Linked DNA regions of Arabidopsis thaliana. The protein of the gene in region 2 interacts with the protein of the main gene of each other region in a pairwise test. Each region holds a gene or a part of one and is shown on either strand. Other genes may lie near its edges.

Region 1 (10,728 bases), on a different chromosome or scaffold from region 2:
TTGCGTAGACGAAGCTGGCCTTGCCTGTTTTTGTGCCCATTCATTACTGCTCCTTCAAACTCTGACCAATCTAAGCTCTTGTTCACAAAGACTTGTCCTAACAGTATCATGTTGGGTCTTATGGTTTTGAGATTCAAGTAGGCTCTATGCGCCTGTAATGCGTTGTGCATGTTCCCGGGAGATGCAGAGATGAAGATGTCGCTCTTCATACTCACGTAGTAATCGACTGCAGCCATCAGAGAAGCTTTCCCTTGTACATCAGCTAGTTCCTCAGCAGAGGCTAGGCTTTTCTTGTTTTCAATCCCGGGGAACAGTTTACGCAGCGTTGAGATTCTTGCTTCTCCTCCGTAAACCTGGTGTGACGCTAGATAGAGACGGGTATTGTTACTGAAACCCAAAGCTGACAGCAGTAAACCAATCTCTTCTGGTGTCAACGGGCAGCGACCTTTGTTTCTTAGCTCCTCATCTGTGAACTGTGAATTTAAGACCCTTCCTTGCCAGATCACCTGGCGATATTTTGCCAGCGCCAGTTTTTCTGCTTTGCCACCTTCAAAGTCACAGCCTGAATGAGCAGCCATGTCCTAAAAAAAAAGATGAAGCAATGTCAGAACTAGATGTTACTGCCAGGAAATGGGCACATTTGTTGAGAATTAAGACCACACTTTATCGAAACGAAGATGAAGCACTGCAAACTTTCCAGCACCAGCTTTTACAATGGTGTTTATTCTGTCTGTCGGATCCATAGTTCCTGATGTTTGAGAGCTGGAAGGAGGATTTCTGAGTCGATGCACAAGAGCGTCCCCTAGCTCACGAATATGAGGAACAAAGTTTAATGCTTCAAAATTTACTTTACAGCGTAACCGCTGTATACTTTCAGGCAAATTGTCAAATGCCAAACGGTGAGAGAATGGAGCAACAGCAGCAATGCCATAACTGCATAACGAAGTGGATAATTCATATGAGTAACAATGCATTGAACTACAGACATATATAGTTCCTCAGATAGACACAAAAAAAAAACGTGACTTGACAGAAAAACATCTACATTGAACACTCCCTTAGTATTGTCTATAAAGCATTCCAGATCATATGTAGTATCGTATTTTCCAGGACTTTAAAATGCAGTTATTCATCTGATAGATCACCAGGTTTAGAAAGCACAAACCTCTGGATAATAGGTAAGACATTTTCCAAATACCACTCTGCTGAAGCGTGAACAGGCGCAGTCTTAATCCTAGTAGCTCGAATACCTGTAGCGTAATAATCACGAGTGCTCCAGGCATACTGTATTGGAAGCTCCCTAACAATCCGCACCTCGTCTTTAAGGACACTTATAAAGTGATCCAAATCAAATATATCTGTGAAAGAACTGTAAAGAAATGCCAAATCATAAATCACCAAATTCATCAGGCACCAGACAACTTACAAGTTTCAAAGTAGATTACCTTGAATCTTGCCAAACAGTATTTACTTCAAGGCGTGGAATCACGAGTGTAACGTTCATTATCTTGGCAACAGCAACAGCATCACATATCTGCAAAAGGAACAAGAAGAGTCAGAAGGGAAACCACCATAAAAATTGACTGAAATTCTTATACTCACTCCCATTCTTTGTTGATTTAGTCCGCCGTCAAGGAAAACCTGAAGAAACCCTTCAGACTTCTCTGGCAAGGCTGCAAAGAGTGACAAACCCATCAATCAAAATACAAACTTTTCAGGGCACATGAATGTAAACGATGAAAGAAGGAAGAAAGCTTTATATTTGGAAACTTACAAGCGCCTCTATAAGATTCAGTGCAAGGCTTCCAACCTTGATCTGCCAAGGGAGACCATAACTCAACTTGTTGTCTGATCGACTACACATTGGTTCGAGGAAGAAGAAAAAGATTTAGAGGAACGTAGTAGATACATCCAAGAAACTGAGCTAAACCCACTTACAATTTGTCGATCAAGAGCGCCTTGGAGTAGGCTCAAATGTCTAGGCCTTGGAGCATTCCATTCCTGCAAATGCCAAACTTAATTCTTCAGCTTCACAATCCCAAAATGTGAAATTCCAAATAAATCATCGGAGATAGAGAGAGAGAGACTGACGGAGAAGAGAGAAGGAGAGGCGCGACCAAGAGGGCTGAAGAGATTCGGATAGAGAATCGGGAAAAGGAGCACGAAAACACCAGCTAAAGCTGTCTTCTGCGACTGATTAAGGTTCTGTAATGGCTGCTTCATTTGGAGCATTCGATTTTCAACAAAAACAGAGTCGTACGATGAAGACAATCCCTTATTCTAAACTCAGCGACGAACGAATAAAAGACCAAACTTTCTCGGTGTACCTCCTCATCCCGAGCACGTTTCTGATCCGAAAGTTTGCCAAATCCAATTTGTTGAAATTGGATGGAAAGTGGTAACAGAGATCTACGGAAACAACCGATACACGACGACAGTTGATACTTCCGGGTGGGAATCTCCTGAGAGAGATGTGACGTCAGCAATTCCAAATAATCTCTTTTTTTCGCAAAAACAAATATTGGGAAGAATAAAATTTATTTTCAGATTCAAATCTTGTAATATGGTCACAGATCATAGGTTCTAATTTCTCAAATGTAGGATTCACCCGTGAATCACGCCTCCCATTTCATATGTATAACTTCGACTCAAAGAATGATGGTCGTAGGCTCGTAGCGGTAACTAGAGAGGGGATATTAGAATTGTTTGTCCCACATCGGACGGAACTTGGAAGATTTTTGTGAATTAGTATAGAATGTGTTAGAAAGATCTCCTGTCTTGGGTTAGGGTTTCAGGAGGAGGGAGAATCACACATTCTTACACGGAATCAAAAACGTTATTAAAAAGTTTGGACTCACTCTTTCTCAAAATCTAACCATGAAAACCGGTGGACACGTACATGAATATTGTTTGAGTTATAAAATTCTAACTTCACTTGAGAACCTTTTCTAAAAACTTAATTTATTGAAATTTTGTAGTGCATAAAGAAAAGTTTGGGAAAAGCTAAGTTCACTATCTAGATCACCTTAGTTCCATTAGTTTTTTCAATAGTTCCTTCTTACAAAACTCCATTGTTGAATAAAATGCACATGAAAGACTTCGTTGATGGTTTGCAAGGTTGCTCAAAAGTGGAAGACATGACGTTACCCCTAAGCCTAAAGGTCCTTCGTTGGACGTGATCTTCCGAGGTTTTTGTTCTGCTGATTGCGTGAATACATATTTTTGGCCAAAAAAATCTTTTCTAGAGAGTGAAGGTAAGGAACAAAGACTTACCTTTGTTTTATATGAATCGAGAAAGGAGGTGAAAACATTTGTAGAAATTAATTAACATATTTGTTCTTTCACACCCCTCTCCAATATTATATTTATTGTTTCATTGTTGTTAATGTAAAGAATCACTATAGAAAACCTATCGTTTCACTATATTTACTTGTTTCATTAGTGTTAAAATTATTATTTGTCCGTGATGTGAAGAATCCCTTTGGTGCAAAATAGTTATAAAGACCAATAACACGTACAATATCTGAAACTTGCTTCTCTGCAATGCAATGAGAATTCATCCTTCCCATCTCAATTCTTTTTCAACACTTATTCAAAGAAAAGAAAGGGAAAAGGTAGACTTAATATTTGTGGGCTTCCATCGAAGTCAACTCTGCTGGATCTTTCTCTCTCTCAGATTCATTCCCAAGATGGAAGCCTAACCAACAAACAGTTAGTAAACATCCACATACAAAATGTCAACAAAAAGTTTGAAATATGTTCAGTTAAACAAATTATACCCAAGCTTCAGGGAAGTGTCGGAGTCATCCTCAAGGGGAGTTCCACTGTCGTAGCTTGACACATTTGTGGTCACCGACTCTGTCTCCAAAGCCTCTTTAAGCGTCGTCAGTTTTGCCCTTTCCAACGTCTCTAGCTGCCGATATATAATATACGTTCCCTCATCATATTTTCTTATACATAAAAAAATAGATTAAGGTTATTCCATGATATCTATAAGGGTTTAGAGCCGTACTTTATCCCTCAGTCTCTTATTCTCATCCACCAATTCCGATCCCTGTTTCACTTATTAAGAAAGTCACTAGCTATAGATAGGCTTATGATCCATTAGTTATACGAATTGTATGTACTAACTACTAACCCGTTTCTCAAGTGAGAAAATTTGGCTCATCACACACTCGCCCTATTTACCAATAACAACAACAAAGTCAAACTTTTATATATGTACAGCTTATTATTTATATGCCACGTTAAGGAAAATATGCATGCTATTAGTTTATGTATAGTAGTAAACCTTCTTTTCAGACACACGGCTAAGTCCGGATTCAAGTAGTTTCTCCAGCCGCTGCAACTCTTCTAAGTTCAATCCATCAAGATCCTCTCCTCTCAGTTTCCTGTTTTACGTTAAATTAACACTCATTTCTATCAAAAATATCTCTATAGATATTTATCCAGTCAGTGATATATCAGATATTTGTTCAGTAGGTCTACCAAAGAAAAAGAAAAAAAAAACTACCTATGCTAGATATAGATAGTAATGTATATAATTTTTTTAATGAATTAATGAGAATAATGGGCCATAATTGAAAATTACAAAACTCTTGTAAATTTTAGAAGTAGCTCTTAAAATCTACAAACAAAACATCAATTTCCAAGACACACGCCACAACTTGACGAACTTACACGTGAAATGAAATATCTTCAATTTCCATGAAATAGATTCTAAAACCTAAAAATAGCATGCACACATCATTGAAAAAACATAAAAAAAAAAACCACACACATGAAATAGATGATCTCTTACAGCTATAGCCTATATGAAAATAGGTTTATCTGCATAACATATCAATGGAGCCATACCGTAGCTGCTTGGTTTTGTCTTCGACTTCCTTACTTAGTCTGGAGAGGTTACAATTCTCAAGCTGCTAGATGCAAAGTCAACAGTTTCAGGATTCTGCTATTAATATGTAAAACCAATTAATTAGATGCTTCAAGATTAATGATTATATGCCACTCAATGTTTCTATATTTAGACTTACAGCTAAAAATTATAACAAACACGTGTAACAAAGTGAACATCGGATAATATTATAGAGAGAAGGGTTTGATAAAAAGAGAAGGGTTTGGTAAAAAGAGCAGAGAGTTTAAAATCCACAAAAAAAAAAAAGAGTAAGTGATATCGAAAATACCCGGAGATGAGTAGAAGGTGGATCCATCAATTTGTTGATGTTACTTGCATGAAGACTATACCTTCCCAATATGTCTCTCATTCTACACGTTTCAACAAACAATCCATCTTTCTTATAAACATTTCCTTCGTCCATATTACATTTGTAAAATTAATTAAGTACATTAGAAGCCTTTTTGGTTATAATAAAAGAAAAGTAATCAGAAGTAGCCATCACGATACAGACAGATGACTCGTTTCCCAATTATGGTAATGCTTCCCAAGATAAACTAAACGAGTGGTTAAGAATTAATCCCCAATCATACCAAGTGACAGTGTCAAAGACTTTTGTAATACACAAAGTCAAATGAAAAAAGGGAAAAGAAATTCATTCTAATTGTGGTAAGTACTATGTATCCATATATACATATGCTTTCCTAATTAACAAAAATCACACTATAATATTCTGCTCTCTTATTTCCCAGTACAGAAATCTTAACCATGAGTCTAAATGAAAATGATTGAAAAATTACACGTTAAAAACCCATATTATGTTAAACGGAATTAAATACATGATGTGTTATACATAAAAGTAATAAAACATCAATCCTATACTTTAAAGTATAATAATTTAGGTCATCAAATTATGCCGTACATGAGATCTCCGAGCCTACTGATAATTAACTTTAGAGAGTAAACGAGAAAATAAAAATCTCATTTAAATACATATCTTAATATATTTATCCAACCATATTCTCAAAAACACAAACATGGATTGAAAAAAATAAGACAACTACTAACAAAAAGATAGAATATACCTTGAGCTGGAGAACTCGAAGAGCTTTCCGGTGGCAGAGAAGATGATGAGAGCAACATCAGCATCGCAAAGAACTGAAAGTTCATCGGCTTTCTTGAAGATTCCTCTTCTTCTCTTTGAGAAAGTAACTTGTCTCGCTGTTATGTTATCAATCTTCTTTATCCTTATCTTCTCTCTCGCCATTTTACCAGATCTCTCCTTCACTACTGTTCTTGAATCTGCCTATACCCATAACACCATTTAGATTTTAGACCAAGAACAAAGAAAGAAACCAATTGGAACGGTGTTAGCTAAAGAGAGTTTATATAATATTCTTAGGAAACCCTAATGGCTAGAGAGAGAGAGAAAGAGAGATCAGATCCATAAACCATGAGAAGCAAAAGAATGGACAGGACTAGATGAATTCATCAAACACTTTGCTTAAGAAGAAAGAACACAGATTCACAGCTTTTACCTTTCTGTGAGTTGGAGGATCTTGGATTACGTTATTCAATCTCAGCACCCACTTTATTAAATTTGTGAGAAGATAAAAAAGGTTTTTCTGGTAGCTGTTTACTCCCTAATGTGTGAGTGAGAGAGAAAGAGAGAGAGAGATGGTGACTGTGTTTGTGTTCAAGATTGGAAAAAAGAGTCTGCTTTTTTTAGCTAAACAGTGATCTATACTTATCAATGGGCCATATGTTTTGTATCCCTTTTGATTATGTCTTTTTCCCAAACTATAATCATTAAAAATAACACATAAACACACTTTGTGTTTTGTCTGACTGAGCTGCCAGACGAAGAGACTGCTACAGTTATGATTTAATAATTTACCTAACCTTCTAATTCAATTAGTCTGTCATGGAATAATGTGGAATTGTAACTTTATTCAGTAGCGGGTTTCCTAGTTTTACTGTTTTAGTCTAGTTTTGAATAACTTCCCATCTAAAAACAAAATAAAAATAAATGACGTGAAATACTACTCCGTATAAGTTAATAGATTTATATATGGCTAGGTCAAATAAAATGATACAAAAGTTACCCACTATCAAAAATGTAACATGATAAAATAAAAAAACATAATTGGAAAATGAAAGAAATCACAATACACAAGGAACTACGTACCAATTCTAATGGAAAGAAAGTTTGGTTACTTTTTTTATTCGTAATTAGAAGATGCTGTTCATCAGTTCATCTACCTTTTTGGTTTTGGTTTATTACAAAAGTTGTGTCTATTAAATATTTCATGTCTTTTTTATAGTCTTTCACCTATATATGCTAGATGCGACACCTGATAAGATCACTCGTCTCCCACCGTCATCATTATCTTTTATTTTTGGGTTTGATCAGCCATTTATACCCTTTTAAGTTTTAACCCTAATTAGAAATGATATATCACCGGACTCCGGTAACTCTAGGGTGATATCATGGCCGACAAGTATCTTGTAAATTTTTTCTCCCAAAGTACAACTGAAAATTAAACTAAACTGATAAAATTCGTGGGAAACGTACCATCTCATAATGATACATGTGAAAAGTAATATAGATGACTTTAAGACTTCAATCTGTATAAGATTAAGTTCTTTATGACTAAAACAAATAAGCACTAAGAATGTGAGACAGATTTAGTATTGTAAGCCTTTGGTTTTGTTTATGGGAGGAAAAAAAGCGAGTGCAAAATCAGAAAGTGAGAGTTTTTGGTGTAGATCAATGTTATTGGTCTTTAGGATCTTATAGTAATATGTTGAAAATATATTTGGGACGAGCTAGAAGACTCCCAAGGTCATATAAATGTGAAACTAAACAGTAATTGTAATAGTGTTCAAGAAGAATCATCTAACACGTTTAAAAAGCTTAGACTTGTTGTTGACCCTTGTTACCCTTTCATATATCTTGTGTTTCTTACTTGAGTTTAGAAAAAGAAAAATCTTAAGCCTTTCATTTGGAATGCTTGGTCATCTTGTCAGCCCTCTAGGCTCATGTATATCTCCCGATTGCTCGATCCCGAAAGTCTTCACTAACCTTCGTTGTCAGCTTAATCCTCAAAGTTTTGACTTCCAAAAATAAATTATGTGTTGTACCCTTTATATCAACTCACATTTTGCTTCCTCGTAAACAATGTTTTTTTTTTTCTCCTCCGAGATCGAACCATCATTTATAGTACTTACTACTTATTTCCTTAAACTCATAACAAGTTCGAAATTTGGGCCATATTGATGTCTTAAAAATAGGCCCATATAAGAACAAGAAATCATAATTCACAAAAACACAGAACCCTCCGTCTCATGAAGAAGCTTCACGATAACGACGGCAAATGGTAAAACGTGAACCACCTCACCACCAGACACACAAAAAGACGAGACCGATCGGCGATCAGTAGACTTAACCAAACTCGCGGTGAAACAGTCGGAATCCACCGCTATAAGGAACGATGATGATCTCCCAATTCTTCGTCTTATCTCAGCGAGGAGATAACATCGTCTTCCGTGACTGTAAGCTCTCTTTCTCGATCTGATCCTCTCTGCTTCTTCCTGTTTTGCTTTTTCTCTTCAGAGTCGAGTCTTATGTCACTGTTTCATGAGAATTTTCCATTGAAATCTTCTCTAAGCTCATTGATCTGTTTGATCTACCAACATTTCTTATCCGATGACAAATTATGTTGAGCTGAATTTCCAAATCAGATTGTACAAATATAGCAAAACTATTCAATTAGTTTGGGCAGAGTATCTGTATGTAATGTAGTAGAAGAAAGCTATTTGTTTTGAGATTATACGATTTGGTTGGATCCAATACAAGTTTCAAGATGTGTAACGTTTTATTGCTACAGACCGGGCTGAGGTACCCAAAGGAAGTACAGAGACATTCTTCCGTAAAGTCAAGTTCTGGAAGGAGGATGGCAATGCAGAGGCGCCACCTATCTTTGTAGGTATTATACTTTCTGTTTGGTTGTGAGCTGTAATGATTTCATCTAACTTATTTTTTGTGCTTATAGAATGTCGATGGCGTGAACTACTTCCATGTCAAGGTTGTTGGTCTATATTTTGTTGCGACAACGAGAGTTAACGTGTCACCCTCTCTTGTTTTGGAGCTTCTACAAAGGATTGCTCGTGTTATTAAGGATTATCTTGGTGTTCTGAATGAAGATTCATTCAGGAAAAACTTTGTGCTCGTGTATGAGTTGCTTGATGAAGTTATTGTAAGTCTCGTCTTGATGTAGTTCTCATTGTTAGCATGTTTATATCTATATAGTAGCTATATTTGTTTATTTTCCCAGTTTTGATTTTTTTTTATTAAATAAGACTCTGTGCTCTTTTGATTAGGATTTTGGTTACGTGCAAACTACATCTACCGAAGTTTTGAAATCTTATATATTCAATGAGCCGATTGTGGTTTCTCCTGCCCGCCTTCAGCCTATTGATCCTGCTGCCATTTTCACAGTAAGATTGCTTTTCATTTTCCTCCTCCTGGTATATGTGACTGACCCCTTTAATTTATGCTATGCAGCAAGGAGCCAAAAGAATGCCTGGAACTGCAGTTACAAAATCGGTTGTGGCTAATGATCCTGGGGGTCGGAGAAGAGAGGAAATTTTTGTGGACATCATCGAGAAAATCAGTGTTACTTTTAGTTCAAGCGTGAGTAGTTACTTGCTTCTAGTTTATTATATCAAAAGTACAGAAGTCTTGGCATGTTCTCTTCTTGCCATATCAAACCACCCATTTCTGCGGATCAATGCTTTGTATTATGTCCTAATACATGTAGTTGCATCTTAATGTTAGTTTTCTTCATGGAAAATATCCATTATTTTTCTGATTTCTGAACAGGGATATATACTGACTTCTGAGATTGATGGCACCATTCAAATGAAGAGCTATCTTTCTGGTAATCCAGAAATCCGTTTAGCTCTTAATGAAGACCTAAACATAGGAAGAGGAGGGAGATCAGTATATGGTATTTCTTGTTTCACCCCTTTAAATCATCTTTATTATATTTGGAAGGAATCAACGTCATATTCTATCTTGTCTCACTCTTTGAAATCTTGGTGTCTCTTTCTGTGACATTTGGCGTTGACAATGCTTAAATGTCAACTAAGCTGTATGTTCCACTTACAAACTTCCCTCATAAGTCATAACCCAATTCGTAAATATATGTAGTTACTCTTGTAGCATTTTTTCTGCATCTTTGAGGCACATCAGTATCAACTGGGGATTGATCTATTAATACAATCTAACCCTTGGTAACATCACACTTGAAATGTTGCAGATTATAGGAGTTCTTCAGGTTCAGGGGTGATACTTGATGATTGTAACTTTCATGAGTCTGTTCGTCTGGATAGCTTCGATTCAGATAGAACTTTGTCCCTGGTGAGCGTCAAAATATTTAGTACAGAAAACATCTTGTAATAGCATGTTGTATTAGTCTTTAACTTGCGTTCTGTTTTCAGGTTCCACCAGATGGTGAATTTCCAGTAATGAATTACCGTATGACTCAGGAGTTCAAGCCTCCTTTTCATGTTAATACCTTGATTGAAGAGGCTGGACGTCTTAAGGTGAAATTTCATGCGTACATGTCTTCTGAGTCAGATAAAAACTGCGTATATTTCTTAATTGCTCTATAAATATTTTTCTGTTTGCTGAAATTTAGGCTGAAGTGATTATTAAAATACGCGCTGAGTTCCCTTCAGACATAATTGCAAACACAATCACTGTTCAGATGCCATTGCCAAATTATACTTCCAGGTACATAACTTTTTGATTGGTTTGTACAAGT
Region 2 (9,085 bases):
ATTCTTCTGACCCATATCAAATAAAGATCCACTTAGGCCCATTAGGGTTAGAACAAACATGAGGTTGCAGAATAAAAAGGGTTCATTTTCCTCACTCTCAAGTTGGATCTCAAAACCCTAATATCTGAACTTCGCCGTCGAGAGCATCCATGGGTCGTGTCATCAGAGCTCAACGTAAGGGTGCGGGTTCCGTCTTCAAATCCCACACTCACCACCGCAAAGGTCCGGCTAAGTTCCGTAGCCTCGATTTCGGCGAGAGAAATGGTTACCTCAAGGGCGTCGTGACGGAGATCATCCACGATCCTGGTCGTGGTGCTCCTCTTGCTCGTGTCACTTTCCGTCATCCTTTCCGTTTCAAGAAACAAAAGGAGCTCTTCGTCGCCGCCGAAGGTATGTACACCGGTCAGTTCTTGTACTGCGGTAAGAAAGCTACTCTCGTCGTTGGAAATGTTCTCCCTCTTAGATCTATTCCTGAAGGAGCTGTTGTCTGCAACGTCGAGCATCACGTCGGTGATCGTGGTGTCCTCGCTAGAGCTTCTGGTGATTACGCCATTGTTATCGCTCACAACCCTGACAGCGACACTACTAGGTTTGTTTCTCTTATCCAAAAATCTTCTGAGGCTTATAAACATTTTCAGATCTGTTGATTGTTTGTTGTAGATTATGATGATCTTAATCAGATTAATTAGAAAATGCTTATGTATCATTGGTTATTTAGTGTAGTTTATGATGATGTTAATGGAATCATTTCGTTAATTAGAAATGCTTGTGGTATAGTTGTTGTAGTCTTGTGAATGATGATTTGAGTATATGTTTGCGCAGGATTAAGTTGCCATCGGGTTCGAAGAAGATTGTCCCAAGTGGATGCAGGGCTATGATTGGACAAGTTGCTGGAGGTGGAAGAACTGAGAAGCCGATGCTCAAGGCAGGAAACGCGTACCACAAGTACCGTGTGAAGAGGAACTCATGGCCTAAGGTTCGTGGTGTGGCTATGAATCCAGTGGAGCATCCTCATGGAGGAGGTAACCATCAGCACATTGGTCACGCCAGTACTGTTAGGCGTGATGCACCTCCTGGACAGAAGGTTGGTCTTATTGCTGCAAGGAGGACTGGTCGTCTCAGAGGTCAAGCTGCTGCTTCAGCTGCCAAGGCAGACTAGAGTTAAAAGAGATAAACTTTGTTTCTCTTGTTTTCTATGTTTCAAGTTTTGTTGTCTGTGTTTCCTTTTGAACCTCATTCTGAAATCCTAAAAGATTTTTATGATAAACCTTTCTCTCTTCTCGAAAAGCTTATGTTATTCACATTGCATACTCTCAATACGCAAAGTTTTCATTTTGTACATATGAAAATTATGTAAGAACAACGTAACCAATTCTCGTGATCGTTAAAGTGGTAGTTGAATTGCAGATTTTCATCGAAACAGCAGCCCGCCGCATTGCTATCACAAAGAATCAAGTCTTTGGTGTTAGTCGAATTGAAGCAATCTGAAGTACCTAAAAAAAAATTACAAGGAATCTTAAAAACGAATCTTGCAGCAAACCTTCAAAATGACACAGAGGACTCAAAGACATTTATGTGCGTAATACAAGTCTGATTCTATAGTTGATTAGCTGAGTTTTGGTAATGTGTAATATTTGTGTTTATGTGATTGAGATTTACCTAAATTGTCTTTGTCCATCAATTTTTAGCGTTTGAGACTTTGAGGAATTGGTTTTAGTATCTGATCCAATAGCTAGATTTGTGTTGCTCTTGCTCTATAATTGTCTTCCAGGTTGAATATGGTCCAAGGATAATTGGTTATCGTCGGCTCTTAGATGTATTCTGCTCTAGTCATGATTCTAGACAAGTGTTTGGACAAGGTCCTGATGTGGGTAACCAATACAGGTAAAAGAGCTGTTTGGTTATCTTTGAGTTTGTTTGTTTGGCCCAAATCTATAACATTTGAATATATGTTGAACAGATCCTGTATTTTCACTAACTGTACAGAAGAGTTGAGACTGGCTTCTACCAGCAAAGAAAGGGAGCAACTTAATACAAGAAGCAGTATCGTGACTTCTCTCTTGTCGTTGACTCCTCTCTTCACGAGTCTCATCTCCGACGCTTCTTCTCTTTTCTTCTGTTGCTTTGGTTCTCATCTTCATCACACTTATTGCAAGTTTGATCAAAGGCTCAAAATCCAACAAAATTCACCATTTTAGACACCTTGGGAAGCACGTTAGCCGGAAAACCTTGAAAAACCCACAAGGGTTTTCAATGCGCCTCCTTTGGATAATTGGATCATACATACACCATTATTGGATAATACTCTCTTGAGTCATGAAGATTAACAGAAAACAACATATCATCAATAACACAAGACGGCTCTTGCCTCAGATCACTCAACTTATCTATTTCTCTCCTTGACTTCAAATTAGTTTCCCTGGGTTGGTAAGCATAAGAACAGAACCGTGCTTATCCCTCATGTCAAATTTTCTCTTCCATCACCACATATGTCACAAACTCTCAGTCGCAGAGGTGCGTAGGTTCGGACAGAAGGTCTTATTGCTGCTAGGAGGAGAGGTCAAGCTGCTGCTTCAGCCGCCACTAGGGTTGTTAAACAATAAATAAATTAAAAAAAAACATTTGCTTCTCTTTTATATGTATATATATCCGTTTGGACCTTGTTCTCAAATTGTAAACATTTTTATGATAATCTTTGTCTTCTCTCTCGAAAAGTTTAAAGTATTATTGCAAATTGTAAAAAGTTATCATCGCAAGTTTTGATTATTGTTCTCGACCGAATAATTTTAATATTTAAACGAACCGTATCAAACCGAGTATTTGGTTATATGTTTAAAACGTCTTTAAGTATCAACTAAGTAGAAATATGGTCACCAATTGCTAACTGGTAAAAGCGGTTGAGACTCAGCATGATGAGAGAGTCTCACCACGGTTCGAGTCGCGATATTGGTACCTCGCTCCTACCAAAAGGAATCATGCCTTAATTGTTAGCCGAAATAAAGTAATCTAAATCACTTCTTTTTCAATAATCATGCAGCGAACCCTCTAAATGAATCAGAGGGTCTCAACTCTCAAAGACAGAGTTTAATGGAGGTGGAGCCATGGCGTGACTTTTTGAGCGACTCGACTCAATCGACTACAGGTTGTTCGTTCATATGGAGTTTCGTTCCCTGGTTCGAAACAGCAGCTAGACGAAAACTGTGTAATGGCTATATCACTGAAGAGGAACCGTTTCTTCATTCCTTATACGAATCTCGTCTTCTTCTTCTTCTTGTGTGTCTCTCTGCTCGATAAAACTGTATCCATCAGGATTTCGAATCAGATCTCGGATACTGTCGTTGATTCTCCCGATCGTCCTTTGAAATCTGCGGTTTTCGCTCTTGGAAGCTTCTGGAGATCGGAGGCGGCGTTTGGTTGTATCAATGGCGTCGTACGAACCTCCGCCGGTTACGCCGGTGGAACGAAGACGAATCCGGAGTATAGGAACTTAGGTGATCACGCCGAGTCCGTACAGGTTGGTTTTATTGTTTCAATTTTGAGGATTGAGCCAATGTTTACTTCGTTTATTCGATGTTTAGCTGATATGATTTGATTTGATCAGTGCCTATGTTGTTCGATTTGATTTGCTCTACTTAACAGATTTCGTTTGGATAATAAAATTGGAGAATGCTTTATGTGAATATCATCATTCATTAGCTGATTAGGTTGTTTTGTTGAAATTTGGTTATGTGTGATCTTAGTGTATATGTGATTGTCTGATTGAAGTTAAACTAAATTGTCTTTGTTCATCTGACTTAGTGTTTGAGGAGCTTAAAGATTTGTGTTGCTCTTGCTCTGTAATTGTCTTCAGGTTGAATATGATCCAAGGATAATTGGTTATCGTCAGCTCTTAGATGTATTTTGGTCTAGTCATGATTCTAGACAAGTGTTTGGACAAGGTCCTGATGTGGGTAATCAATACAGGTAAAAGAGCAAGTAAATAGCTGATGCTTATCTTTGAGTTTGTTTGTTTGGACCAAATCTAAAACATGGGAATCTTTTTGAACAGATCCTGTATTTTCACTAATTCTACAGAAGAATTGAGACTGGCTTCTACCAGCAAAGAAAGGGAGCAACTTAATACAAGAAGCAGTATCGTGACCACTCAAATTCAACAGCTAGGAACGTTTTATCGCGCAGAGCCTGATCACCAGGTTCAGCTTTAAGTCTCTCTGCATCTTCCATTCATATCACGGCTGTTTATTAGAGGATAAACGATTAAGAAAATCAATCTTCTCTTGAATTTCTGTATTTGCAGAAGTTCGAGCTGAAACAACATCCATTTCTTATTCAGCTAATTGGAAACATGGTAGAAGAAGAGCTTGAGAGATCAGCTCTAGCCACAAAACTAAACGGTTACGCAGCCGAGCTCTGCCCGCCTAGAATCCAGAAACATATCGACTCTAGAGTTAATGAGATCATTAGAAAAGGTTGGCCCGTCTTGAGAGACATCTAATATATAAGCCTTGTGAGATCTTCGCGTTCTTGGATTTGATTGCTTAGTCTCAGATGTAAGTTTTGGTTCATTCTTTTGGCCAGGAATTTGGTCACAACAATGTTTATGTCTTACTCTTGCCCCTTGAGTGGTGATTGTTCAGCGTTTTGTCTTGTTTCTTTTAAGATCTCTCAAATAGTATATGCTTTTTGTTTTCTTGTAAGAAGATTCAGTTAGACTTTCATTGTATCATTATGGTATTGATTACCAATTCATTGATATTATATATATATATATATATATATATATATATATATATATATATATATGATATACTTTGATTGCCAATCTCTCACATAGAATATGCTTTTTATGAATCCTTTACATCTTAGTATCATCAGTTGGTATTTTCGCAAATACAAAGAAAGTTCTGGGGTGATTTGTCAATAATAACGATTTGGGATTTTTATAGTAAATATTGTAAGTTTGGGTGTGATTTTTAAAAAATCAAAAGTTCCAGGGTTATTTCATAAATACCGAAAGATCCGAGGCGGTTTCATCATATACTGGGCGATCCGTGGTGGTTTCGAATATACCGAAAGATCCGGGAGCATTTTGAATCTGCTGAAAGATCTGGGGCGATTTCGTAGATACCAAAATATCTGTGGTGATTTCGTCTCACAGTTTCAATCGTCGATAATCATTAGGGTAAAGCAAAAATAGTGAAGCAGAGCCGCAAAAACACTTTTCCCAAAATCAACGAAGATAGATTCAGATCGGAAGCGAAAGAACGATTCGGTCTCCTCCACAGATCGAACATCGAAGGAGAAGAAAGACCATCATCACAACAAGCATCGAAAGAAGAGCAAGATGGCGTCGAGAGACCAAGTTAAGGCATCGCACATTTTGATTAAGCATCAAGGTTCTCGGAGGAAAGCGTCGTGGAAGGATCCAGAAGGGAAGATTATTCTGACTACCACTAGAGAAGCCGCCGTTGAGCAGCTTAAATCGATCCGTGAAGATATTGTCTCCGGCAAGGCGAATTTCGAAGAAGTGGCGACTCGTGTTTCTGACTGTAGCTCTGCTAAACGCGGCGGTGATCTTGGTTTGTTCTTATCCCTAATCTCTAGATCAGCGAGTTTAGGTTTAGGATGATTGAACTTAGGGTTAGATCTAGTGGCAATTAAGATTTTAGGAAATGAAGTTAATCTGTATAGTCTCAAGTGATGTTTGTTGAAGGAGTAGAAAGCTTGTTAACTGGATTCTATTGGATCTAACTCTTTACAGTGAAATTGAGCATAATGATCATAGCTTAGATCATTAGTGATGTTTAGAATCTCACAGTTCTTCCTCGATGTGTTTATAGTCATCACTAATGTTTAGAATCTATAGTTTCTAGCTTGATAAATCTTTAGTTGGTGCTCAGAAATTTTACTAATCTCTAGCTTCTATCATCATTAATGTTTAGCTTCTTCATATTCCTTAATAAATCTATTCTTGGCTCTCGTTAATCTCACTAATGTCTGTTTAGATAATCACCGATGTTGAGAGTCTAAAGTTTATCTTCCTTGATGAATCTATATCGGTGCTCACAAGTCTTACTATTGTCCACTTAGATCAACATCGATGATTAGAAACTAAAGTTTATTCCTTGATGTATCTTTAGTTGGTGCTCGTAAATCTTACTACTGTTTGCTTAGAGCATAACTATGTTTATAATCTAAAGTGTATTCCTTGATGAATCCATAATCGGTGCTCATAAATCTTACTAATGTCCACTTAGATCACTACCCATGTTTTCCTCGTGATGATTTATAATTGGTGCTCATCAAGTTTACTAACATCTTCGTAGATCATCTCCCACATAGAGTTTCTTTCTTGATGAATCTATAATTTGTGCTCATAAATCTTATGTTGATTTGTCCATCCCTGTTCAGGTTCCTTTGGTAGAGGTCAAATGCAGAAACCATTTGAGGAAGCAACTTACGCGCTCAAGGTTGGAGATATAAGCGACATTGTCGATACAGACAGTGGAGTCCACATCATTAAGAGAACAGCTTGACCTTATCTGATCTGATAGAAAATGTATTGAAGGTGCCTGCTTCGTTTCCCTTCTCTTCTTGACCAGAAGAACATAGAAGAAGAAGAATAAGAAGAATTTAATTCAAGGTTATTGTTATTGTGGTTTTGATTCTGAATCTGTCTACGAATTTGATACAACTCAAACATATGATAAAATCAGACAAGCTATCTCATTTCTTCTTAAAGGCTTCATAAGCACTCCCTGTCGTAGACAGTGACTTGTATAATCACATTTCAGTATCTTTGTCATGGTCTTACTGCAACATTCTGGCATCTTGTGTGTTGTCATTTTGCTCTTAAACTCTTGATAGTCTTTGGCTCTCGTCTCCACTCTTAATATTTGAGAAATCGTTTACTGTTAGGCGTAATTCAATGTTTAAACCAGTTTAGTAGGTTCTGAGCGGGATGTCTAGGTTTTTGACTTTTCTTAACAACATTTAAGGTTAGAGCCATTTAGCAATTAATCTAAACAGGTTTTTATTTTAAACAAGTCATGCAGAACTCCATTGTATGGGATTTAAGGATTCAAATAATTTTCTCTAGAAAATTCGAATAAATCGGTTTATTGGTTTAAATTTTGAGATATATACTGGTAACTGATTAATTATGTGAAGCCGGTTACACTTTTATTGCTCTTTGTAGTCAATATTTCCAAGTTAATGTTACTTGTTTTCTTGGAGTTTCAACTCTATTTATACTTATAAAACAACTATTGAAATTTCTAATTAAAGCATCCAAAGATGTTAAAGTAAGATAATTAATGTCATAGTTTCACATTTCATTCCATATAAATAATCAAAAGTCTTATTGTTGTTCATCAATCAAAAGCAAATATAACCTTCAGCATATATTTGGCTATACTAAGGTTCTTTTTACTCAATTTCTCATTATGTCTATAAAAAATATGCTTTCACTCCTAGCGGTTCTATGCATCATCGTTTCTGTAAATGCTTAGATGCCTCAGTTTCCGGCTCCATTTCCTTTTTCATTTCTATTCGAACCGATTCCTGGTATGTCAGGATTACCTGACATAACAAAATGTTGGTCATCCGTGATGGATATTCCTGGATGCATTGTAGAGGTTTCTCAATCTATTTTCACTGGAAAATTCGGCAATTTAGGTCCATCTTGTTGTAAAGCATTGTTGGACGCTGAAGTCAATTCCATGCCGAAAATTCCATTCATTCTGTTTTTCCCTCCGATGCTAAAGGAACAATGCTCAAGAATTGTGGGTGCAACTCCTCCTATACCAAAATAGAGTTTTAGCTTAGTTTTAAAAATCTATGATTTTTTTCTTTTCAACTTATTTATTGAAATTGTAGCTTACTCTACATGTTATACTCCAAAAAGAAAAAAACGATGATACAATAATAACATAGTTGTATTTGGGTTCAATACTTACTCATTTTTCAATTATAATGAATAACACCTTGAAACATTAACTCCGTAATTAATTTAGTCTTGCAATTTTTCATAAATTGTTTATATATGTCGTAACACAAAATTTGCGAACGGTTAATAACTTTACTAGATAAAACCTCTCTAAATAGGTAGATGTGAAAAATAAATAAATTTTTGTTTTAATAAATTTTTCAAATGATAATCTATATATATTTTATTTAATATATATTTTCTAAAACCAAATTTCAATCTTACCTTTTCTAAAACCATATTGTTAAAAACTAAAGAAAAAGTTGGACCAAGCAAAGCCTCTCGGTAAATGTGGTAAATAAATAGAACGATATAACTGAGAAGAAGAAAATAAAACAAAATTAAGAAAATAAAAAGATAAACATATTTAAGTTACAATATTTAAAAATATTAAAACACTTCTTTTTAAGAACAAAATGGGGAATTTTATTTATGTTTTGAATAGATCAACAATTATTAATAGAATGAGTTTAGTTTAATATATTAAATATAAAAAATTGAATATATAAACAATTGTTTTATGTATATATTTTTTTTTTGATAGGGTTAAGGATTTTTTTCTATTTTTGTTTTTAAATGTAATAAAATTTGAAACACATGTAAATATCGTATTAGTAAATACCGACCAAAAAAAATATTGTATTAGTAAATTTGACACATATCGCAATTTTTGTGAGCTAACAATTTTAAAAATCAAATAAGATGACGAACAAAGCTCTGGTTTAAACTTTCTCCCATCAATTTTTTCATTAAACCAAATTTAACCAATTATTTGGCCTAATAACTGCGTCTACGTTATTAAGAATAAGAACTTATTTTGTGTTTCAGTAGAAAACACACTCGTTCACAAAATGCCTAGTAAGAGTAAAGGACGATCACCGCCACCAAGTGTGTTTCTCGGATAAACACATGGAATCCAGCCATTACTTAAACGACACGTGTACGCTCATGATTTATTAATGCACACGTAATCGATCCTCTGACAAAAACCATAACGAATACAGAAAACACACGAATACACTTCCCTGCGCTATAAATAAGCTAGCACGAAAAAATTTAACAGATAGAGACAAGACAAGCAAAGCAACACTTTCACTA
Region 3 (10,674 bases), about 11 Mb from region 2:
CGCAAGCATAGTTTATAGATAAAATTAATTAATGGATTAAAAAACAAATTAAAACAAAAAAAAAGGGAACCACGAGAATCAGAAGATGAAATAAAGACCGTTGGATGAAAGAGCATAGGGCGGTGCACAGCACGCTCTGTGGTCCCCTTAACAGAGGAAGTGAATCTCCTAATCCTCCTTATTACAACAGGACCCATGTGCCCGACATGTGTCGGTACCTCAACTGGGAAGTGCCAACTCTCTCCCCAATGGCCAATTCTAATATCTCCTTCACAGTCTCCAATTAACTTCATTTTCCTAATCCTCTTTATCCGACATTTTATTTTTTAATCACAATTCCTTAATCATACTTACACAAATGTAGTACTCCATTAAACAAAGGTTATATTCTACTTATTGGCTAACCAAATATTATATGGTTTTTCTTAGTCGTTGATTTGTACTTTGTATATTTGTTATTTAGAGAGATTCATATAAGTGGATTCCAATGAATGCGCAAATGTTATTGAGGGGCTATTGATTTATAACTCCCCCAAATCACGCGTCTACAGAAAGTTAACCAACTAATAATGATTTATGGTGGATGAAGAGCTTCATCTATAGTTACTCGATGAATTTTAGTACTATATGATTTTGTTATAACTAAAAAATCATTATTAACTATCATGCCTAAGATTCTCAAACATCAGTCGGAATTATTTTAAAGAATTTTACATTAAATTCACCCTTTTCAACAATCTAGTTCAGAAATAAATGTATCGTCCATTAGTACTCTCTATGGTTAAAAAATGGACTATACGGGGTTTTTTTTCCTATCTTTTACACATTTATTTGTAATTAATAGTATAACTTAGTAATTCACACATAAATTGCTTTAGTGGCTAGATTGTCTAAGTGATCCTTTTCAGCTACCTTATGACCTTACCCACATAGAAACACAATTATTCAAGCGAGAAAAACGCTTTTGGGATACAGTACTGGATTTATTGGTAATCGGAGAATATAAATGGGAATAGACCAAACATAATTACTGATGCATGAAAGTGCATAAACAAAAATTTGCATGGCAGTCACGGGCATCATCTTTCACAGACTAAAATGCCAGAAGCTTCAAACTCCCACCAAACCTAAGAAAGCCAAACCAACATCACAAAATTGGTAGAAACAGTAGAAAACAAAAGGAGTAGGTTTCTGGATAACAAAGGAATCTGTCCTTTTCTAAGTTTCTTTAGGTGCATTCACAAATTACAAACATGTTTTATATATTTTTTAAAAATCAGTAACAAACAAGTAGATATCAATTAGCATGTAGATTCAAAATATAGTGAATTAGTGATTATATACGCTAGCATTAAGTAGATGGTGATAAGATAATGATACAAAGATATGAATTAAAAGAAGAAAAAAAAAACACCTAAAGAAGTGAATATAATAGGCATATACATATGAGGAAAATGAAAACAAAAGGAGCGAAAAATAGATTTAACCTAAAAGAGGAAGTAAAGAGGTTATAAGAGGTAAGAAAAGTAGGACCATATAATAGCTATATTGTAGAATTTTATTATTTGGAGATATGGCAATTTTTGTGAGGGTCCCATGAAGACTAAAGTGTGGAGCACGATTTATCTTTGTAATTAATAAAATAATAAATATATTATTATTGTCTCGGGATTTTTCGATTGATGAGAAAAAGTAAGAGGTGCGTTTTCGAATTATCATTGGCTAACGTTTGTACGTGACTGTACGGACGACGTTGATGTATTTCTAATATTGTACTCTTTTTTCCCACCCTTATTTCTCTAATTCTTGTACATTAACCCCAAACTAATTTTACAAACACATTGGTGTTTAATCATTGTGAAATTTTGATTTATCTAAAATACACTTTATATGTTATGATTTTGCATGAGCTTATGACTGGTAAACTCATGAGATTTCCATATCACCATGTTGGAAGTTACTAACCATACATCTTTTAAATGCAAATTCACATCATTCCTAGACTGCTAGACAGACATGTACTTACTTATACAAGGTTTTTCTAATCTAATGGCAACAAAGAAACTTGTGACTAAACGCATACGTATCTCTCATATAGTGTAGACTAGAACTCTACGTATCTCTCATATAGTCATATTTTTAAAAAAATTATACTTTGGGATCTCGAAGCGAAAATTAGATTAGTTTATATGATTATGTACAAAAAAAATCGGATATTACTACCACTTAAAAATAATTGTAGTGGTCAATCATATCTAAAATTAATCGCAGTGAACAAAAACCTGAAGCATAGCCTGGTTCTATCTTACTTTCGATGTGACACATTACTAACACGATTGTTTTAATCTATAGGACGAATCCTTTAAGTAATGTATAGTTGGTTCAGTTACGTTAGATACTTTTTGTTTTGGATTTGTCTCAACCAGTTAAGAAGTGATCGTATTTACTAGTGGTATACGATGATGTTTCTTTAAATCTGAATTGGGTCTACAAAATACATAACTAAACTTCAAACCGGGTTTATACTTTATACAAACACGAAAATATAAAGATAGAGACAATTCACCAGAGAAGATGTGTATTTATATAAAAATTATCCATACAGATTTTCGGACCTATCTGTTTGATATTTAATATATATAAATACGTTAACATATTTCACCAGAGAAGATGTGTATTTTTCGAAATAATTAGTTTGTGTGGTCCTCCTCCCGATATAGATAAAAGATCATTAGATATCGATTAACAATTTTATCTCCAAAAAAGGATATTTTTTTGGTGCCACTAGCTAGACAAGACGTTCGATAAGCTGAATTATTATTGGATTTCTAAGTTACGTTTTCTTTAGTAATCCGAGGGACCAAAAATAGCAAATGCCTCTTTAGACACGTCGCTACTTAACGCCATTGCCCCATTGTCTCTGTACTAGCCTCCAAATATTTGGATTAATGGTCACTTAGGTAATGAGGAAATTGTAGTATTTTGTAATGTGGTTTTGTCCAACTTATAAAAACTTACAATTGCAAGTAATTAATTATTCACATGGAGATGTAAGATTATGTCATATAACTAAAAACACAATTTAAGAACAACAATAAGAAACAATGGACAAACAAGCATAGAAAATATACAAATCAAATGAATTTTATCTGTTGGGATGGAAAGATATTATAAAAATTGATTAAAACCAATATAGTTGTATTACTCACAGGTAAGAAAAAACGATATTCTTATTTTTCATATCAATTACAAGTGGGGGCATATAGGTACGAGAGAGTGTTTGTGTCCACATTAAAAACAAAAAAAGATTTTTGTTAGAAGAAATTTAATAAAAATAATTTGACAGGCATTTCCATCCAACTAGATATTTATGGGAGGGAAAAAGATGTGTATGTAAAAATGTCCATATGTATCAAAATATGCTATTTTTGGTCTTTCTTAAGGCTTTTTTCCAAAATAAGTAAAGGATGAGGTTTCAAGCGTCCATCATATTTGCGACACATATGACTGACTATTTAGCTCCTCCCTCTTTCTTTCTCTTATTTTATTATCTTTCTCCAAGAAATAAAATAGAAAAGAAAATATATATGGTTTCACAAACACCATTACCATAACTACAACGAGAAGAGGATCTTTTTTAAGGAGAAAAGCAGAGAGAGAAGAGACGAGTGTGTGAAGTTTTTTTGTCTTTTGTTTCTTTTATTACACACAAATAGATGAAACGAGGAAAGCTACTTCTTTTGCTACTTCCATAAAAAGGTTCTTCCTTTCGCAGAGAATCAACTTTGATCATCTTCTTCCTTCTCTTTCTTTCTTCTTCTCCCTCCAGTAATGCTTATATAGTCTCCTCCTATATCTCTACCTATACATACACAAACCCTTTATCCTCGAAAGCTTCCTCCTGGTTAGGTTTTTATCAAACCCTTTTAGCCAATCGGTAAGATCTCTTCGTCATGATCTTTTCTTTTTTCTTTTGCTTTGTACTCTGATGGATCTATAAACTTATATGGGTTTGGTTTCATTTGGTTCGATTTGATGTGTTTGGTTTCTTTGTCCTAAATCTCATGAAAGGAGGTTGCATCCTTCAATTAAACCGATAACAAAAGTTTCCATTACAGACTTATAGATCAGATACTTTAGATTGTTTTGCTTTTTGGGTACTTAATCTTTCGTTGACTTCATCAGTCTTCTCCCACCCAAACAAAAAAGTCATATTTCGATCATATCTTCATTTTTTTAACCTACTCTCTTTGATTCATATATGAAATGGGTTGTTTTATGTGTGTGACTAATCTTGTTATTGAGGTGGTTGCACCATTGATCTACCGTTTTCTTCAATTTTTGAAAAAATAATTTTATTTTTTTTCTGTGTGCAAGGGAAATTAACTAAAGAAGAAGATATGGTGAGGGGCAAAACTCAGATGAAGAGAATAGAGAATGCAACAAGCAGACAAGTGACTTTCTCCAAAAGAAGGAATGGTTTGTTGAAGAAAGCCTTTGAGCTCTCAGTGCTTTGTGATGCTGAAGTTTCTCTTATCATCTTCTCTCCTAAAGGCAAACTTTATGAATTCGCCAGCTCCAAGTACGTTCTTTTTGTCTTTCTTACAAATCATCCATAGAAAGAGAGAGAGAGAGAGATCTCATTAACCTCTCTATTTGTATCTTAATTTTTTTTGGTTTATATATGGATTTGATTGGCCTTTTGTGGAATCACATCTCTTTGACGTTTGCTTTGAGAGGTGTGTTTAAATGAGTTTCTTGGTTTCTGCAAAATTAGGGCTATTATTAAAGTAGTATCAAGTACATATACCCTCTTATTTATTGTTTTTTTATTTCCGCTAGTATATCATCTTGTTTAATCATCTGTCTCTCTCTTTCTCAATTAGTTTCTCAAGTTATGATATAAATAAAATGTGCTCTTTCGTAGCCAATTTACACTTGTTATATATTTGATCTTCTTAGAGATCATGATCACATAGTATTAATAAAACAACTTTCAATTAGTATTCTTTTGGTTTGAACTAATCTTTGTCTTGTTATTGCTTTAAGCAAAACATGTTGTTCTAATTTCTAAGTGATGATTAGGAAGTTGTTTCATCATTCCTGATTTATTAATCCCTCATGCTTCATTTCATGCTCATTCCTAATTTAGTTCAATTTGTTTGAATATTTGTTCCTGATTTTGACATAGAAACTCAAAGCTAGCTAGCCAAACCTAAATGTTGATTGTTTTTGAGAATCAAAAGAGTTTTATCTTGTACTGTTAGGTAGTAGGGAAACCAAACTTACTTTTGATGAATCATTACTTCTGTAAATGAAAATGCCAGCTTTTGATCAGATGTTTCAGACATTTGGTCCATTTGGGAAAGTACTTCTTTCTCTCGAACCTACTAAATATAAAGATAAGACCTCACATGTTTTTGATTTTCTAAAATAGGGGGAAAAAGTACAAGACTTTTCAAGCTATGTCCTTGATTAAGTCTAGTGATATCTTCAATAAGAAATGTTTTGAGAACACCATTGGGATCTAAATTTGATCTCTGATGATTTACTTTAATGTTCCAATTATATATGTTTTTGACAGTATGCAAGATACCATAGATCGTTATCTGAGGCATACTAAGGATCGAGTCAGCACCAAACCGGTTTCTGAAGAAAATATGCAGGTTTATTCTTTATGATCTTCTTGCCTATATATCAATTCTTGCTAATTAATACTTTTACTATATAATATCAAAGAGCGGTAATGAATATAACCACAATATGTATATAATCTCAAGGTCACAGGATCAAGTCACATATTTATAATTAGGATATATATGTACATGCAATAACATTTCTGTGATATAACCAACAGCATTTGAAATATGAAGCAGCAAACATGATGAAGAAAATTGAACAACTCGAAGCTTCTAAACGGTTTGTGATATATACATATATACAAACACATTATTCATCACTTGTATATATCTATTTCATGATGCATAGGAGAGTTTGATCAATTAGTGTTTTGTTTTTGTAATCAGTAAACTCTTGGGAGAAGGCATAGGAACATGCTCAATCGAGGAGCTGCAACAGATTGAGCAACAGCTTGAGAAAAGTGTCAAATGTATTCGAGCAAGAAAGGTATGTGTATATATTTATCTGTTATATCTCCACATTATAAGTATTGTTCGAATCATCTTCTGAAACCACTCATAATTATAACTCAATTTCTCATCTCTTTTAGACTCAAGTGTTTAAGGAACAAATTGAGCAGCTCAAGCAAAAGGTAAAGTAGTTTTTATGAGTGTATATAAACAGATATAAGTATGTATGCAAATTGTGTAATATTCCAAGTAAGTAAGCCTCTTGTGCTTGCTTTTTACAAATTGGAATCTAAAACTTTTGCAGGAGAAAGCTCTAGCTGCAGAAAACGAGAAGCTCTCTGAAAAGGTATAATATATTCTTATGGGTCTCAAGTTAGGGTTGCACATTCGTTTTTTTATTCGGTAAAGATAAGAAAGTTGGGGTTCTTTTTGGGGGTTATTAGGTTAGGAGAGTCCTTACTAGTTTTTCTTGGTTATCTTCAATCATCAACCTTCTTTAATTTATGTATTGTTCTATATATCTTCTAATTTGCATCTATTAATTTTGTGTAATAATTCTATTTGAATGCAGTGGGGATCTCATGAAAGCGAAGTTTGGTCAAATAAGAATCAAGAAAGTACTGGAAGAGGTGATGAAGAGAGTAGCCCAAGTTCTGAAGTAGAGACGCAATTGTTCATTGGGTTACCTTGTTCTTCAAGAAAGTGATCTCCACTCAACAAAAAAAACAAAAAAACAAACTAAGTAAAAACAGGTTTAGCAGTACTGAGAGTGTATAAGGACAAGTAACAAAACTCTAAAGCTGCTTCTCTCTTGTTGTCTTATTTCTCTCTCACTCTCTCTCTCTCAGTCACTTCTTTAATGATTCTGAACTGCTTGTGTTATGTATCTATGTTCTTACACTTGCCTCTCTAGAATGTAATTTTGATTATGTTTTGTTTTCATGTATCAATTTAGCTTTCTTCCCTCAAAATCATAAAATCAGGAATATCTGTACTATATAACTTACTGGTTTCTCAAGTCGAGAGACTAGAGGTCTAGAACTTCCCAAACTGGTAAAAAAATATAAAGAAAATTATGAGAGCACATTAAACATTATCCATTGGCCAAAAATCAATAACTGCATCATTTCAGATGAAGAGCTGATACACGACAACGGTGGCAACTCTACAATACAAAGATCGGTCTAGTAGCATGTGTGACTGTCTTGGAAGAAGTTGCGTCCCCCCCAAGCAAGTTCAAAAGATCACCGGGAGAGGAGATTTAGGGCATAAATCCAAATGTTGTAGAGGCTTTTAGCCCATCAAAGAAAAAAAAAACATTATACGCATAATCCAATATTTCAAATCGTTTAGAATCTTTAGATAATAGAGATACATGATTGTGATATGACATGTGCCGTTAACATTTATATGGGCCCATGAATTTATTTTGTAATGGCCCACTTATAAAAGGGCCTACTTTGCGATAACAGCCCATAAATATAAGAGAGTATTAAAAACTTAAATTCTAGTATGTAAAAAAAAAAAAAAAACCTCAATAAATATGAAGACTTTATGGAAAAGACATATATCAACAACAGTAAAGTTTGCTAAAGAAAGAGGAGCTCTTCTCTTCCAAAAGTCAAATCAAGAAACAGCAATGTGGGTCCTACCTGGCTTCATATCATTGCGCTTTTTCCAAGGTCAACTACGTGGCATTTTATTATTCGTTCATTTTTTTAGTTACAGGTTGATTTCATTTACTCACCCAATTGTTTCGGAAGTTCATTACTCCTACTTGCGTAGTTGAGCTGAATCCTCCTTTGATTATTCGTCACCCAATTGATTCGACGTCGCACGATTTATTATTTGTTCCTACTATTCACAATTCAGCATTCATAAATATATGTCTGAGATTTAATAGTATTCATGCCAAATAAATCTATTCATTTAATTGATTTTAGAACAATTATTAAAGTTTATTTCATTTGGAAAATGTTGGTAAAACCAAAACAAAAATAATGTTTTAGATCAAGTAGGAGTAAGAGGAGAAATTCTTCAAAGCACATACATGCGAATATAGATTCACACGAGCTGGAAATTAAATGACAAACATCTAGTGCAAAAGTTTTTCTTATAGGAAAAAAAAACCCAGAAATCTAATTTGAAAAAAGAACAACTGTAGAGAGCTGAAATTGGCCTGACCGTGGCATCGTGGTCTAATCAACAGAGAGTCAAAGAACCCAACCTTGGACGAAATTAGTCTCACCTGCCACGTTACTCTTTGATACCGAAGACCCTTCACCTTGCACGTAGTAATGTTGTTGAAACCTAATCCAAATACCAAACAAGTCTTATAATCATATCTTATTTCTATCCATTTATTTGTAAGGGCCGGGAAAAATGGTATATTCTTACCCTATTTGTAAAAAGGGTTCGGTGTTGCAATCCAATACATTAGGATGAGAAGGCTCTACCGGAAATTCAGAATTGTTTGGATCCCCGGCCACCGATGCCGCCGAGTTTGCCCATAAGTCTTGAAAGGTTTTGAAAGCATGGCCTTCCGTTTCAAACTATTGAAAATTTATGTTTAGTTAAGATCCAAATGTCATAATTAATTATATGAGAAGTTATAATATAATTTTGCGATGTCTAGAAATAAAAACCTTAATCTTGAGTTGTTTGTTTATGTCTCCTAGTTGCCTCTCCTGCCATTTCAAACATAGATTGATTGATATGCATATATGTTTTGCAGTTTGGTATGAAACATTTTTATATAACTTGCCTTTTTCCTAAGGTCTTCCATTTCTTCCATCATAACTTGTGTCTGCATATTTTAGTTGAATGTTTTAGTTATGAATATATTTTTAATGAAACAAGACCAGTCTAGATCATGTGACCTTGCGCTGTCGAGTCGCGGTAAGAGCGGCTTCGAGCTGCCTCTCGAGCGCTTGCAGTTCCTTCACACCCATTTCTCCAAGATCTTCTCCAAGCAAATTCCTTTTATAATTAGCAATTATCAACACCCATAACAATAGATTTGTAACTATACATATATAATGGAAGATGACAATAACGATTTAATTTCAAGGGGTTATAGAAAACTCTTAATTACTAGACCTGTTAGTACGAACAAGAGATTCGTATTTGGATTTAAGCTTTGTCACCTCCTGACACCAACTCTGCACCATATAGATTATATGAAATGCATATATATAGTAACATGAGAATTTGAGAAAATAGAGTTAGCTAGAATCATTATCATCAGAAACAATAATTGTAAATATATTCAAAGTACGTACACACACTTGCCTGTGTAGTCTCTTCAGGCTTATTATTGCTTAGAGAGCAGTTGTAACAACGATTATACCGTTCGATTGTGCTTTCAATTCTACAAATTCAATTAAAACAAAAATGGGAGATCATTAGCTCGATTCAACAAATAAAGATTCTTCTTACGACAAGAACTCAAGTTATATATCTTACACACTGATCTAAAAGGGAAAACCCTAGTTTGTTTGTTTTTTTTTTTTTTAAAGCTAGAATTAAACCCATTTGAAACCTGTCATCTGTAAGATTAAAGAATCAAAGGAATTCATGAATGGGAAATCAACAAATTATAACGTACGGAAGGACCTATTAGCTTATGATAAAGGATCCAAGAGGGAGACACGATATAACGATGAACCCTAATTACCACAGGATAAACGATACAACCATTAAGAATAACCACAAGATCAAAACATGATCCGACTCTTGAATCGTACGATGTAACAAGTAGCAAATGAACCCATTTATTAATCAATTTTCATATAAAAAACATAGCTTTATTGGATGAATCTTAATATATATAGCACAAAAGTTGGTTCAAAGGAGCAAAGATATATATACCCAACACTACCAAACTCGTAGAGCTTGCCACGGCTTGAGAAGATGATGAGAGCAACTTCGGCATCGCAAAGAACAGAAAGCTCATAAGCTTTCTTCAGCAAACCGTTTCTTCTTTTTGAGAAGGTCACTTGTCTATTAATCTTGTTCTCTATCCTCTTCATCTCCACTCTCCCTCTTCCCATCTTTCTCTCTCCTTCTCTTGATTCTGATTTCTTCTTCTTCTCAAGAATTGGTAACTTTTTTTCAAGAATAGATAAAAGGAATAAAGTATCGTACACGATAAATGTGTTGCTATATATATAAACTTGTATTACTTTCAATTCTTCTTGTTACAGGTTAATATGGTGCGTTATTACATAAATCCTTTTTAATTAATTATTAGTCGTCCTAAGTATGTGAAAGTGGCACCAACAAATGAGATATTTGTTGTTGAAGAAATTAAATATAAATATCGTCATATATTTGATGGAACAAAATGATAACTCTGTCTTCATCGTTATAGCTAGATTCCTAAAAATGGAAATCTACTTGTAACAGTCGGACCATTGAAAATTCCTTTTATTTTCTCTTTTTAATTATTAGGACTCTTTTCTTTTCTTTTTTGCTTTTTTTACATAGAGCGCGATGTTTCAAATTCAAACTAACTCATTTTGTTTCCAAATGTTATGGCTCATGTTCTTCTATAACTAGTTATTGTACCCTTTTCAAGCTATCC

What was found.
Region 1: the proteins of PIN1AT (region 2) and AGL24 interact in binary tests that used the Arabidopsis thaliana proteins (3 or more experiments, as listed by UniProt).
Region 3: the proteins of PIN1AT (region 2) and AGL20 interact in binary tests that used the Arabidopsis thaliana proteins (3 or more experiments, as listed by UniProt).

Annotation. Positions count from the first base shown.
Region 1 is NC_003075.7:12,667,482-12,678,209, forward strand, and holds AGL24 (AGAMOUS-like 24), read right to left. Parts: upstream 6,626-10,728; 5' UTR 6,436-6,625; intron 6,204-6,435; 5' UTR 6,165-6,203; coding exon 5,983-6,164; intron 5,269-5,982; coding exon 5,187-5,268; intron 4,920-5,186; coding exon 4,858-4,919; intron 4,392-4,857; coding exon 4,292-4,391; intron 4,181-4,291; coding exon 4,139-4,180; intron 4,055-4,138; coding exon 4,013-4,054; intron 3,914-4,012; coding exon 3,780-3,913; intron 3,698-3,779; coding exon 3,679-3,697; 3' UTR 3,416-3,678; downstream 1-3,415. Other genes in the region: AT4G24530 (O-fucosyltransferase family protein), read right to left, coding at 1-581, 663-933, 1,166-1,369, 1,446-1,534, 1,603-1,673, 1,775-1,856, 1,939-2,001, 2,092-2,232; AT4G24550 (Clathrin adaptor complexes medium subunit family protein), read left to right, coding at 8,392-8,452, 8,788-8,882, 8,953-9,156, 9,281-9,397, 9,465-9,593, 9,783-9,909, 10,222-10,322, 10,403-10,507 and 1 more. UniProt on the Arabidopsis thaliana protein: Transcription activator that mediates floral transition in response to vernalization. Promotes inflorescence fate in apical meristems. Acts in a dosage-dependent manner. Probably involved in the transduction of RLK-mediated signaling (e.g. IMK3 pathway).
Region 2 is NC_003071.7:7,837,002-7,846,086, forward strand, and holds PIN1AT (peptidylprolyl cis/trans isomerase, NIMA-interacting 1), read left to right. Parts: upstream 1-4,938; 5' UTR 4,939-5,344; coding exon 5,345-5,579; intron 5,580-6,411; coding exon 6,412-6,536; 3' UTR 6,537-6,941; downstream 6,942-9,085. Other genes in the region: EMB2296 (Ribosomal protein L2 family), read left to right, coding at 150-589, 823-1,159; AT2G18025 (uncharacterized protein), read left to right, coding at 1,815-1,884, 1,961-1,995; MSRA5 (Peptide methionine sulfoxide reductase family protein), read left to right, coding at 3,206-3,514, 3,851-3,963, 4,049-4,193, 4,298-4,495. UniProt on the Arabidopsis thaliana protein: Prolyl cis/trans isomerase with specificity for phospho-Ser-Pro bonds.
Region 3 is NC_003071.7:18,803,920-18,814,593, reverse strand, and holds AGL20 (AGAMOUS-like 20), read left to right. Parts: upstream 1-3,468; 5' UTR 3,469-3,937; intron 3,938-4,377; 5' UTR 4,378-4,400; coding exon 4,401-4,582; intron 4,583-5,584; coding exon 5,585-5,666; intron 5,667-5,857; coding exon 5,858-5,919; intron 5,920-6,026; coding exon 6,027-6,126; intron 6,127-6,229; coding exon 6,230-6,271; coding exon of another isoform or gene 6,272-6,280; exon of another isoform or gene 6,281-6,393; coding exon 6,394-6,435; intron 6,436-6,660; coding exon 6,661-6,795; 3' UTR 6,796-7,089; downstream 7,090-10,674. Other genes in the region: AGL6 (AGAMOUS-like 6), read right to left, coding at 8,303-8,399, 8,487-8,641, 8,735-8,776, 8,854-8,895, 8,969-9,068, 9,189-9,250, 9,381-9,459, 9,960-10,141. UniProt on the Arabidopsis thaliana protein: Transcription activator active in flowering time control. May integrate signals from the photoperiod, vernalization and autonomous floral induction pathways. Can modulate class B and C homeotic genes expression.